Xenopus tropicalis: one gene and its partners. Each later gene encodes a partner of the first gene's protein in a complex. Links are inferred from orthologs where the notes say so. Each region holds a gene or a part of one and is shown in the gene's direction. Other genes may lie near its edges. The genes, in order: snca, naa20 and ppia.

Region 1 (3,754 bases):
TTTTTGCATATTGTTTTAAAAGACACCTCTCCTCCAACAGAAGAATCTTCAGAACAATTCTGTGAATTATTCCTCTGTCGTTGTAGCTTTCTTGAATAACAAAGGGGTTATGTACTGTACCACACACACAATACATTGTGTAAAGTGCAAAAAGGCATTAAGTGTCGCACTCTTGCACATGTAACCTGGGGATTAGAAAATGAGCACTTAAATTAGCTTGGAAGCCTTGCTGTGTTGGAAAAATAGATTGATTCTCTACTGGGTACCATTTGGTTGTAGTTTCCCAAGGGATTTATTTGTTTTCCTGGTTTCTTACTACTATATATATATATATATATATATATATATATATAATATGTAAATAAGGGATGATAATAATAGTACTCCTGTTTTTTAGGAATGAAACTGGTTGCTGATCTTATAGCATTTCATAGCAGTGCATGGATAATGGTCAGAATGAATTATTGTGGATAAGGTTGATAATAAGATGTTATCATTACCAGTAACCAGAATGGGTCTGCAAAATGTAATTATCTAAAGGTTCCACATTCTTTAGTTACAGTTATGAATTGGAGTATTTAGGGCATAATTACATTGTCCTTCCACTGACCAATTCCCTGGGTTGAAAGGAACCATCTACATAATATAGTAAATACTAGAATTCAGTTTTGGTAAGGCTTTGTAATATTTTAGCTGTTTAGTGTTATTCTTCTCTTCTTACTGTCATTAGTAATTGGAGAGAGCGCTTAAATGCTTGCCTGTTACATATCTGCTATCACCTTAGTGACTGCAAGCTTGTTGTAAGAAATATTTATTGTGGCAAGTGCAGATATTTAGCAATAAATAATTCAGCACAGCAGGCATACAGCAGCTGCTAGGGTAAGGTAGCAGATCATTTGCATGTCTGTAGTAGACGATATTACTCTTTTTTGTTGGTGGTGTTTTGTGGGCAGATTTGATTGTTGCTTTCCAGCACCTACATTACAAATGAAGGTGACGGGAACAATAATTTTCCGATGCAAGGCAGACCTCTTAATCTCAAATATTTCTGTTGATAATGGTTCTCATTGTTTGCTCGAGCAGCAGTCGGATTACAAGTGGTCCAGCTTGGGGAGGCTGGCTACGATTATTCAATTTTCACACTGACAAATCAGGCATGTGGAAAGGAAAGACGGGAGGAGGGAGGTGTGGAGGGTGTAGGGGAAGGGAAGAAAAATACGGAGGACATAGGTTGCTCCTACTGAGTAAAAGTATTAATCTCTTATTTTTTACCCCTTCTAAAATTCCTTCTGTTTATGAAGAGCTGATAGGTGTGGTTTCTCTGGTACCTGCTTTGAATGCTTTGATTCCATCAGGTTGTTACATATGCACATACCTCTCAGGGGATTTATTTGGCAGTTATGTACTGAAGAAGAGACTTGATTCCTTTTTTATTGTTTATACACGCACAGATATCATTCCTGTTGGACTAATTTTGGGGAGCAAAGGTTAATGTAAGTATTGCATTTACATCTATATAACATGCCATGTAGGATATTAAGTGTATTTATTCTGCTCACTATGAGCTTTTTTAAATGTTCTATCTGGCATTTTCACCCAGACCTAGTTTAAGCAGCTGACAGTTGCTCACGGGATAGCTTGTCACCTGTGTCCTTAATGCAACGGAGAATGATGCACATGGTTGTTTGTCTTATATAAGGAGAATAGGAAGTATGAAGGTTTCTGTGGGTTAAATGCTCAATTTTATCTTTAATCTTTTTGCCTGTGTGAAGTACGGTATATTGTGTCTGTTTCTCTCCCATTCCCTTTCTCTGACTCTCCCTCAACCACCCCCACACAAACTCTCTCACACATACACAGCACCACTCTTGCATACAAACACACTCAAATATTCATTCTTGCACACACACTCATACATATCTGTATAAAGAGAGACTCTCACAATCACAGACATACATACACTTTGATCTTCATCACCTATCAAACATCTTAAATAATTAGGTACATTTTAACAACAGGGATTATCTTTTTTCCTTAAGAATAAAGTTTTTGTTGGATTAAAAATAATTATTGTAAAGCTTTTTCATCCTGACAACAGCTATTGCATTATTATTTACAATATTTTGGTAAGTTACAGACCTTTGTAAAATACTACCATCATAGACCGACTCGTCCTGTTGAAATACTCTGTTGCATGTTGTAATGTAGTAAAGAAGTATTAGACAAATGGCGTTTCATGTTTCAGAAATCCATTTTTGGCAATATAATACATATATATAGCATATCTTGCTGATTGGACTGATTAAGGATAGACAAGGGTTGCACCGAGAGATTGTTTTTTAAATCCTATACTAATCAGTTACAGATATTTTATTTTGTAGATGCTGTTCAAATGTAATGAGTTACACTATAATCAAATGACCTGTCCTAATGTGTTTGTATGCATTTGTCTTTTGCAGAGCCACTAGAATAAATTTATTAGCTATGGATGTATTCATGAAAGGGCTTTCTAAAGCTAAAGAGGGTGTTGTGGCAGCTGCAGAAAAAACCAAACAGGGAGTGGCAGAAGCAGCAGGAAAGACAAAAGAGGGTGTTCTCTACGTAGGTAGGTAAAAAACTAATCAATATAATGTCATCTGTTCAATTACAATCCTTATCTCCATTTTTCATCACCCTGCAAAAAACACAATAGGATCTATCATTTGTCTTCCGTGTCCTTGGAATACAAATGCAAATACCCTTTAACATTTGTTTATTGTGTAGAAGTTTGTAGCAGTAGTTGTCCATGGCAGAATGGATCTGTAACCCCTGGAGATCACAGAGGATCTCCTTGGTGGTAAATCCCATACATGTCTGTTTTAGAAGCAATAGCCCACTGTACAGTTTTGTAAGCCACAAGACAGACCACTACAGAAACTGTAGGCTTGATAATAGATTGCCCAGTTCTAATCACATTGTAGCCTGTTACACATATTCTTTACATTATGATTTTACAAAGTGTTGTTTCTTTTGAAGGTATATTGCAAATCTAATTTACACAATACAAATAAATAATGACTAAATTTAAATGCTACTCTTTATAATGACAATTAAAAAATTAGGGAGAGGGATAGAAAGAACATAGTTCAATATATTCTACAGATCTGTAAAATAGAAGGGTGAACACATCAATATAGTTCTCCAAGTGCTCAGGCAAAGGAAAGAGGCATAGGAACCAGACCAGAAAGGTCAACTAGGGAAGATTATGGGACACACTGCCCCCTGAAACCTACAAAAGACCTGAGTTGTGGTCCAGTACACTACATTTTAATAATAACACAAAACTAAATGTCCTTAGTTCTCTTGTGTAAACCCTACATGTTCCTATTATGTATATAATTTGGGTACATCTCCCTCACTCAGACAGCATCATTTGTACTGCATATATCCCCAAAGTTCACCAGCACCATATTATTTTCCTAAAACAGATAGTAGCTTTCACCCACCCGCCATTATTAGTGATGTATTTGCAAACAGCAACTTTATGCTGTAAAATTCATGCAACTGAGACTGCAGGCTTACACAGGCAAAACTTACTTTGATAAACATTTTTGGTTGGTTTGAGCACTCTAATGTTTAATCTGAGCTCAGAAGACATGGCTAGGAGAAAAATAGAAGCAGACAGCTAGAGCAGAGCTTCTATGGGAACCAGCAATGCCATCTCCTAATTGTCTGCTAGACTGGAGAGTCTAGTAATCTGAGTTGAGAAGAACTG
Region 2 (3,754 bases), on another chromosome or scaffold:
TGCTGCCTGTGTGTGCCATACTTTGCCTGCCCTACCTTGCCTGTGTGTGCCATACTCTGACTGCCCTATGCTGCCTGTGTGTGCCATACTCTGCCTGCCCTATGCTGTCTGTGAGTGTCATACTCTGCCTGCCTGGCCTATGCTTCCTGTGTGTGCCATACTCTGCCTGCCCTATGCTGCCTGTGTGTGCCATACTCTGCCTGCTCTATGCTGCCTGTGTGTGCCATACTTTGCCTGCCCTACCTTGCCTGTGTGTGCCATACTCTGCCTGCCCTATGCTGCCTGTGTGTGTCATATTCTCATACTGACATACAGGGGGTTTAAAGCCTGAATCTGAGGTGAGAACCATGCAGGGAGGGCAGTTAATCTCAGTACTGATACGATTTAAATCTTACACAAAGGTAAGACATCAAAGCAGCCAGACAGGTGGGGGGCCACACAGAGGCCACCAGTTGGACAGCACTGGCCTAAGGTATGGTTGCCACCTGGCAAGTAAAAATGATGCTTGATCCCAATGTTATTAATAGAGAAGAAAAATAAAAATATAGGCCGGTATTTTTTCTTCCAGAAAAGGTGGCAACCCCAGTTTAAGGTAATTACAAATTTACCAGACCCATCCTTGGCTGGTATTTTACTGGCTAGGTAAACGAAACAGGGGCCAGAAGCAGACTTGGCTTTACCGGAAGGTTTCAGAGGGACCCCAAACAATTGGGCAGGTTGGCATATCTTTAACTGAGCATGTACATGTATTGTCTGAAACAATAAAACCACAATATCATAGACTGACAACCCGCTATCACAAAGCCTGTATTATGTTTATAATCACTTACAAATCTTCATTCTGTAACCAACATCCCTGTAACTCATGAGTATACACACTGGGAAGGTTGTACTTAGGTTGTATCTTTAAAGCAACAATCTCATTTTACAATAAACCAAACTGAAAGACATTTATTATAGTGTATTCGTACGGTGACCTAGTTTGTGGTTACACTGAAACTCCAAGCTTGGTTTACAGCACGATCATATGAGCGTTTCCCTGGGAGCACTTACGTTACACTCAGCCGAGCTTCCGCCAGTAAGTTGACGTCACTGTCAGTACGGTGGCTGCAGAGGTTTGACTTCCGGCGTGGTTCTTTGGGTGTTCTAAAACTTCACGAGAAAATGACATCGCTTAGACCGTTCACATGCGATGACTTGTTTCGATTTAACAACATGTAAGATATGAGGAGACAGCTTCGTCCGGCAGATTGTGATGTGGGCTGCTGGGAATTGTTATATGTCTGGGGGAATGTGGCTGCTGAGGGGAAGGAGCTGCCTGTGCGGGGACATGGCGCTGCTACACAGAATGGGCGCCTACTTAGCTGCCCTAATGTTATAAAGTACTCTAGGGGAACCCATTAACCTTGCAGCTGCTTGTGTAATATACTGTGTTTGTTTATGTTGCATGTACCAAGGGTGTGTTTGCAGAGTAAACATGTAGGTAGCCACCATAGACTGTTGTATGGCCAATCTGAAAGGGACTGCTTGGCTTTGCAGCAGGAAAAATTGATTTAAGGAGCTGACTGATACAACAATATTGGCAAAGTGTATGTTTGCTCATGTCAATAGCAACCAATAAGGTTTGCCTTTAAAGGGTAGACCAGTAAATGGTACCTGCTATTTGGTTGGTATAGGGAATTGCCCTGTAACAGACTCTAATTACATAACCACTAAAAACAAAAAACCTAGGTTGGGCCATGTGGGGTGGCATTTGTATTCAGATAAGCCCTTTTAGTTCTCTTGAACATTAGGATAAGAATCCCAGTACAGTGCCTACTATACACCTTTGGAATGGGAACTTTCATAGTCTGACCTATATATAATATTTCTCTCCCTTGCACATCATTTATGATATAAATATATATTCCAAGAAAAAGAGGTTTACATACACCCTGGAACTATCAGCCTTCTAGCTTTTATGGTATGGATAATATTGCATATAATAATCACTAGGGAGGATGAGGATTACTAATTGCTTGTTTTTCCTTTTGCAGCAACCTGGATCCATTAACTGAGACTGTATCCTTTTTGTTCAACTCAACCTGCTGAGCATTCATCCCATAGTAAAAAAAAAAAAAGGGCTACAGTATGACAGAAAAATGTCTTACATTTTAGCCAAATGTCACTTTGTGCCACCTGCATGGACATATTCAGTGCTTTTCTCAGTACACTTAAGGGCTGCTTTAGTGCATGGGGTAAAGGACACAAATGCCTAAACAATGCCTTTCCAGCCGCATAAATTGAAATTGCCATATAAAAGAAACCTTACATACAGCAAACTGGTGTAATTATGTGAAAATGTGGAAGACAGCATTTTCAAGTAATTATGCCTTTTATTTCTGCACCAAGTTTGTCTGTGCACTGATAATCCAATTATCTACATCACAAGGACCAAACATGGAGTAGCTTCAATTTTCTTGTTTAATTTAAGTATCTGATTAGAGTCATCCAAATGTTCTTTTGGTGTTTTGTCAAGACAGCACACTAGCACGGATTAATCTTTGGTTTTGGTTTGATTTATATCATAGTAATAACATAAATGCTTGGGACATACCCTCACTTTTTCCCTTAACTGCAGGACTCCAGTATGGCATTCCTTTTTACCTGCAGTATTTGGCACACTGGCCTGAATATTTTATTGTTGCAGAGGCACCAGGTGGAGAACTCATGGGTTACAGTAAGTACTATTATAAGGCATTGGTCATGGTAATGCACAGGTTGTAATCTAAAGCTCTTTATATTTAGCAACCACGGCTGCCGGGCCACAGACTGGGAATTCCAGGTCATGCCAAAGGGTCTGTAATAACTATAAATAGTAGTGTTTATAAATAAAATTGTATCTCTAATTGGCATATCCATTACACCAATACATCATTGATGCACCTTCCCAAGTAAAACAGCCTTTGTTTGATTTGGAGTTGGCGTTTATCCAACACACAAACATTTTAATTATAAAAGTATGTGTTTATTGCAGCAGTTGTGCATCTTGCATGTTAAAAAGAATGAAAACTGCAGCAAGCACCCTTATATACCCTATATAAGATATAGTTCAGTATTAAATTTCCAGGTCAATTAACATGGGTTTAATATGGTATGCTTGCAAAGTCCTAAAGAGCACCTAATGCTCAAAACATGTTTCCGCCACCTTAGGCACGTACTAACAGAGCCTGCACGCCATATGAAGGAAGCAATAGTCTCTAGAGAAATGCACATTTATTTCTGGAAGTTCAGGCAGCGTTCATGCTCCTATTGTACATAACCCAACTTAATGAGCCCATGTATTACCTTGACTTAAATGCAGGAATTGCTGAAATAATAAGTCCTAACGTGTACCCTGAATAACCTTGTTTGCAGTAATGGGAAAAGCCGAGGGTTCAGTAGCACGAGAGGAATGGCATGGACACGTCACTGCACTGTCTGTCGCACCAGAATTCCGACGTCTCGGGTTAGCAGCTAAACTAATGGAGTTACTAGAAGAAATTTCTGAAAGGTGACAAATGTGGATTTCTTGTTTATTTTTAAATGGACACACAAATATAAAATATATGTTGTCTTTAAACTGATAATGACAGTTTTACAGGAATTGTGCCCTTTTGTGTCCTGGGAGGCGTAAAATCCTAACCTGCCCAAGCCTAACATGATTGTTGTATGACTGGCATTTAAAGGAGAAATAAAGTAAAAGTCACTTGGGGGTGCCAAAATGTTAGGCACC
Region 3 (3,754 bases), on another chromosome or scaffold:
AAAAAATGAAATGCTTCAAAACACCATCAATGTCAATGGGAATCACCGGTGGCCACCTGGCTTCTACATTTATAAACACACCTATCACTTTATTTTACGGTCGCCACATGGGTCACATCTGCACGTTTTGTCCCCTATTTTGTAGCTCTATAGATGGGCGTCAAAGCAGTTAAGCATTGTCCTTGTTTACCTCTTATTAAGCTCAAGCAATTATAACTAAGAGACGCTTTGGAGCAGTAATCACCTCAGCACTGAGCAGGCAAATGCCTCTCGAATTAATGGAAAGCAATTTATAATGCTGTATCGCCATTGTATGTATAACTTTATTTATAAAGTGCCACAAGGGTACGCAGCGCTGTACAGTCTTACAGAATACAAAATTACACACAGGGAGGACAAGTGATATAATAAATAAATACAATAAATATATATATCTATATCTATATATATATAAGTGCCATGTGGTATGAGACACAGTAGGAAGGAGGTCCCTGCCCCGTAGAGCTTACAATCTGAGTGGTTGGGTAACATACAGGCACAAACTGGAAGGTAAGAGTGCACCAGGTATGGGCATTTGCCCTTAAGAGCAGGACTGGGCAAAATAATGTTTCAGTGCTCCAGAAGGTAACAGCTGAGTTACAAAACGCTCAGGCGACAAAAACACTCAAAATCCCTATTACACCGGGTTTGGTTCGCTGCAGTCCACTCTCACTTTACTGCAACGCTGCAAATTTTTTTAGTGCACCTACAGAAAGAAGTATGTTGAAGGGCTTGCCAGAACTAGCTATTACACTTACTATTAGCCATTCATCAGCTATACGTTATGAAGAACGCTTTCCAGCAATGTCGTATAAAGCCACAAATGCATGCCGGATTACCCTATCCGCTGAATAGTGTTAACCCTGAGTTATAGCCCAAAGCGAAGGCAGCCACTCCCCGCGTCACAGCCGGACCGGCCCTCACCGCACCTCTACAGGCCGCGCCCAGGACTCCCGCGCTTCTGTGCCACACCTTATGAGCTCTCCTGCAGCCTACTATTGGCCCGCCGCGCTGTCAATCAGTACCATGGAACCATTCTATTGGTGTGTTTCCCTTAAACGATGCCAGGCGGGGCCAAGCTTCTCATATAATATCAGCCCCGCTTCCGTTTTTAAGCTCTTTTCCGTGGTTCTCTTGGGCTGTTTAGAGTTCAGGGGGTTAGGAAGCTGCACGTTGCGCTCACGGCAAGGCACTGTTTATTTTCATTCTGCACTATGGCTTTACCCAGGGTCTTTTTCGACATCGCCGTTGATGGCTGCCCGATGGGCCGTATTATCATGGAGGTAATGAGAGTAGACTCTTTACTGTCGGGGGAGGGGGGTGGCATTAAGTCTTGGCGCCATTTGTGAGAATGTCAGAAACTGCTGGTTTGATAGAGTCCGGTTGCACTTTCTTTGCGTGTGCCATGTTCCTGTGTGTGTGAGTGCGGCTCCCATGGGTGCTTGGGGCTAGCTGGAGCGATGGGGTGAGCCGGTCACATGACTGTAACACGATGGAATGGGCCGGGGGGGGTTCCATTGTTTGCTGCATGGTGCGGGGGCGTCACTGCGCTGCGGGTCTGGCCGTCTCCCCCAGCCCCGGGTGAATCTGCTGGCTGTATTGCAGCGTTATTCTTACCGCATACATGTTTCCTCGGTGTCACGTGATACACTAGGCTCTTGGTTGGGGGGGTAACTTGACGCCTTCTAGTCGTTAATATAAAGAAAATGACAATGTAACTGTATCACTAATGTATCATGTCCTGCTGTGCAGCGAGTTCATTCGCTGTTTGATAGTTATGGCTGTGATACATCCGCTGGGCAGCGTATTGGGCAAAATGGTCGGACTACAGCTCCCAGCATTCCTAGCGGAGGCAAGTACAGGGAGGGTAGTTCTGCCACATGTTGGTGCAAGAGCTGGGGGCTGCTGAGGGTGGCTATATATCATTTACTGTAAATATGGTACAAGTGAATGTCTGTTGCTAGGTCTTACTATACTAGGCCCTTTATTCGCTGGCTGGGAGAGCCCGCCTCCCGTGTGTCACTTCTATGGAGGGGGAGGAGGAATCCATTTTAGAAGAAATCAAGTAATGTGAAGATTTCTTGTTCTCAAAATGTCTGCTTGGTTGCTGAGCTGCTCAGCCCTGTGTTAGTGCGGGGTAGGTGTGCCCTGTGGGATGCCCCACTTGCTGGGGTGTGGGCATGGCGGGTATATTTAGTGTAGAATTCAAAGGGCTTTAATCACGCCGTGCCCTAGCGAGGAGACACCGCTCTGTGGGAAATACACCTGCTGCCTGGCCTAAAGGCTTTATGCACAAAGCCTGTCAGTGAGGGCTTATTGTTCCCTCAGGCTAATGCAGGGAGTGCTTTAGGGGCCCCAGCAGTGCATGTTGGGTGCATGGGTAATGCCATTGTGTATTGGTGCCAGGGGAAAGCTGATGTAGTCGCTCTGCATGGTTTGTGTCTAAAGGGATTGGAGCTGAGGGGCAAGTACGTGAGGTGCTGTCAGGGTTACTGTCCCCTTGGTGGCATGCAGGCCCCTCTCCCTTTCTTACTGCAGTGCCTGAGCCAGCAAATCCACATGGTGTGTATGTTATATGGTAGATATAGTGCATACTGATGGCTATATAGGGGATGGTAAATGCTTTATATTACTATGTACAGAACTGTGGCTGCATGGGTTTCTCTGTCCCAGGGTGTCCAATCTGCATGCACTTACTGCGCTTCATACAGGGGTTAAATCTGCTATTTATAGACTTATAGCGACGTAACTGAAGCCATATAAGGCATTTTCAGTTCTGCAGTCATGTTAATCCTTCCCCTGCATGAGCCTTTTTTTGCTTCACGTGGTGGTGGTCTGCCATAATCAAGCATAGGCATTGCCTTCCTGCCATCTTTGTGCCATGGTTCCCCCTCTAACACTGGTATGCAGGGCTAGCAACACTGCACCAAATGCGTTGGTCTCCTGCCTAAGCAAGGGCACGACTCCTGCTGATGTAATAAGGTTCACTTTAACTTTATTACATCTTGCACAATGAACTGCCTGGCATGCCTGTCCCCTCTCATGGTTAAATATTAATGCTCTTGCATATGCCATGCTGCATTATTAAGGGCATAAAAGCTACAGTGGGGTATCGGACAACAGAAGGTAGTTATGTGCCCTGGGTAATGCCGCCCCCCCAATCCCCCAGAAATGGCCATGTGCTGGTCAGTAATACGGATGGGTGCTGTGAGTGACCATACAAGAAGGGGCTCGGTCAGTACTGTGCATGTATGGCCAGGTTAAGGTTTGTATGCTGACGAGCAGTGCAATATAGTTACAAACCATCCGTCTAGTGGTGTCAGGCTTGGACTCTTGGCAGCAGTTTATTGTTTGTCTTCATAAAGTCTCAAGGCATCTGCAAGGGATCAACACTTCATAAATAGCCAGGAAGTGGGAGATGTGTTCTGTGCTGCAACCAGGCATCTTTGTATTCGGCACTTCCCTGTGGTGTCTACTCCCCAGTCAGGTCATGCCAGGGCCAGCCTTCTAATCTGCGTGTCCTTAATCCAGGGCTCCCCAGTCTTTTATACCTGTGAGACGGTTAAAATGTGAAAGTTGGGGAGCAACACAAGCATTAAAAATGTACCTGGGGTACCAAATTATGGCTGTGATTGGCTATTTGGCAGCCTACAGGCTGGTCTGTTTGCAACCAAAATTTGCCTCCAAGCCAGGAATTCAAATATAAGCACCTGTT

Evidence for each region.
Region 2: the proteins of snca (region 1) and naa20 are in contact, whole or in part, in a cryo-EM structure (PDB 7STX), measured with the Homo sapiens proteins. The link is inferred for Xenopus tropicalis from reciprocal best matches to the Homo sapiens genes SNCA and NAA20. Residues at the interface, in NP_000336.1 of Homo sapiens: Met1, Asp2, Val3, Phe4; in NP_057184.1 of Homo sapiens: Leu23, Thr24, Glu25, Tyr27, His73, Val74, Thr75, Ala76, Leu77, Ser78, Leu110, Phe111, Tyr137, Tyr138, Ser139, Ala140.
Region 3: the proteins of snca (region 1) and ppia are in contact, whole or in part, in a crystal structure (PDB 6I42), measured with the Homo sapiens proteins. The link is inferred for Xenopus tropicalis from reciprocal best matches to the Homo sapiens genes SNCA and PPIA. Residues at the interface, in NP_000336.1 of Homo sapiens: His50, Gly51, Val52, Ala53, Thr54, Val55, Ala56, Glu57, Lys58; in NP_066953.1 of Homo sapiens: Arg55, Ile57, Phe60, Met61, Gln63, Gly72, Thr73, Lys82, Ala101, Asn102, Ala103, Gln111, Phe113, Glu120, Trp121, Leu122, His126, Arg148.

What each region holds. Positions count from the first base shown.
Region 1 is NC_030677.2:78,431,662-78,435,415, forward strand, and holds the start of snca (alpha-synuclein), read left to right. Parts: upstream 1-1,209; 5' UTR 1,210-1,493; intron 1,494-1,895; exon of another isoform or gene 1,896-2,001; intron 2,002-2,041; exon of another isoform or gene 2,042-2,126; intron 2,127-2,459; 5' UTR 2,460-2,484; coding exon 2,485-2,605; intron 2,606-3,754. UniProt on the Homo sapiens protein: Neuronal protein that plays several roles in synaptic activity such as regulation of synaptic vesicle trafficking and subsequent neurotransmitter release.
Region 2 is NC_030681.2:36,941,198-36,944,951, reverse strand, and holds the start of naa20 (N-alpha-acetyltransferase 20), read left to right. Parts: upstream 1-1,129; 5' UTR 1,130-1,164; coding exon 1,165-1,217; intron 1,218-2,036; coding exon 2,037-2,061; intron 2,062-2,628; coding exon 2,629-2,719; intron 2,720-3,396; coding exon 3,397-3,532; intron 3,533-3,754. UniProt on the Homo sapiens protein: Catalytic subunit of the NatB complex which catalyzes acetylation of the N-terminal methionine residues of peptides beginning with Met-Asp, Met-Glu, Met-Asn and Met-Gln. Proteins with cell cycle functions are overrepresented in the pool of NatB substrates.
Region 3 is NC_030679.2:126,271,072-126,274,825, reverse strand, and holds the start of ppia (peptidylprolyl isomerase A (cyclophilin A)), read left to right. Parts: upstream 1-1,170; 5' UTR 1,171-1,253; coding exon 1,254-1,322; intron 1,323-3,754. UniProt on the Homo sapiens protein: Catalyzes the cis-trans isomerization of proline imidic peptide bonds in oligopeptides.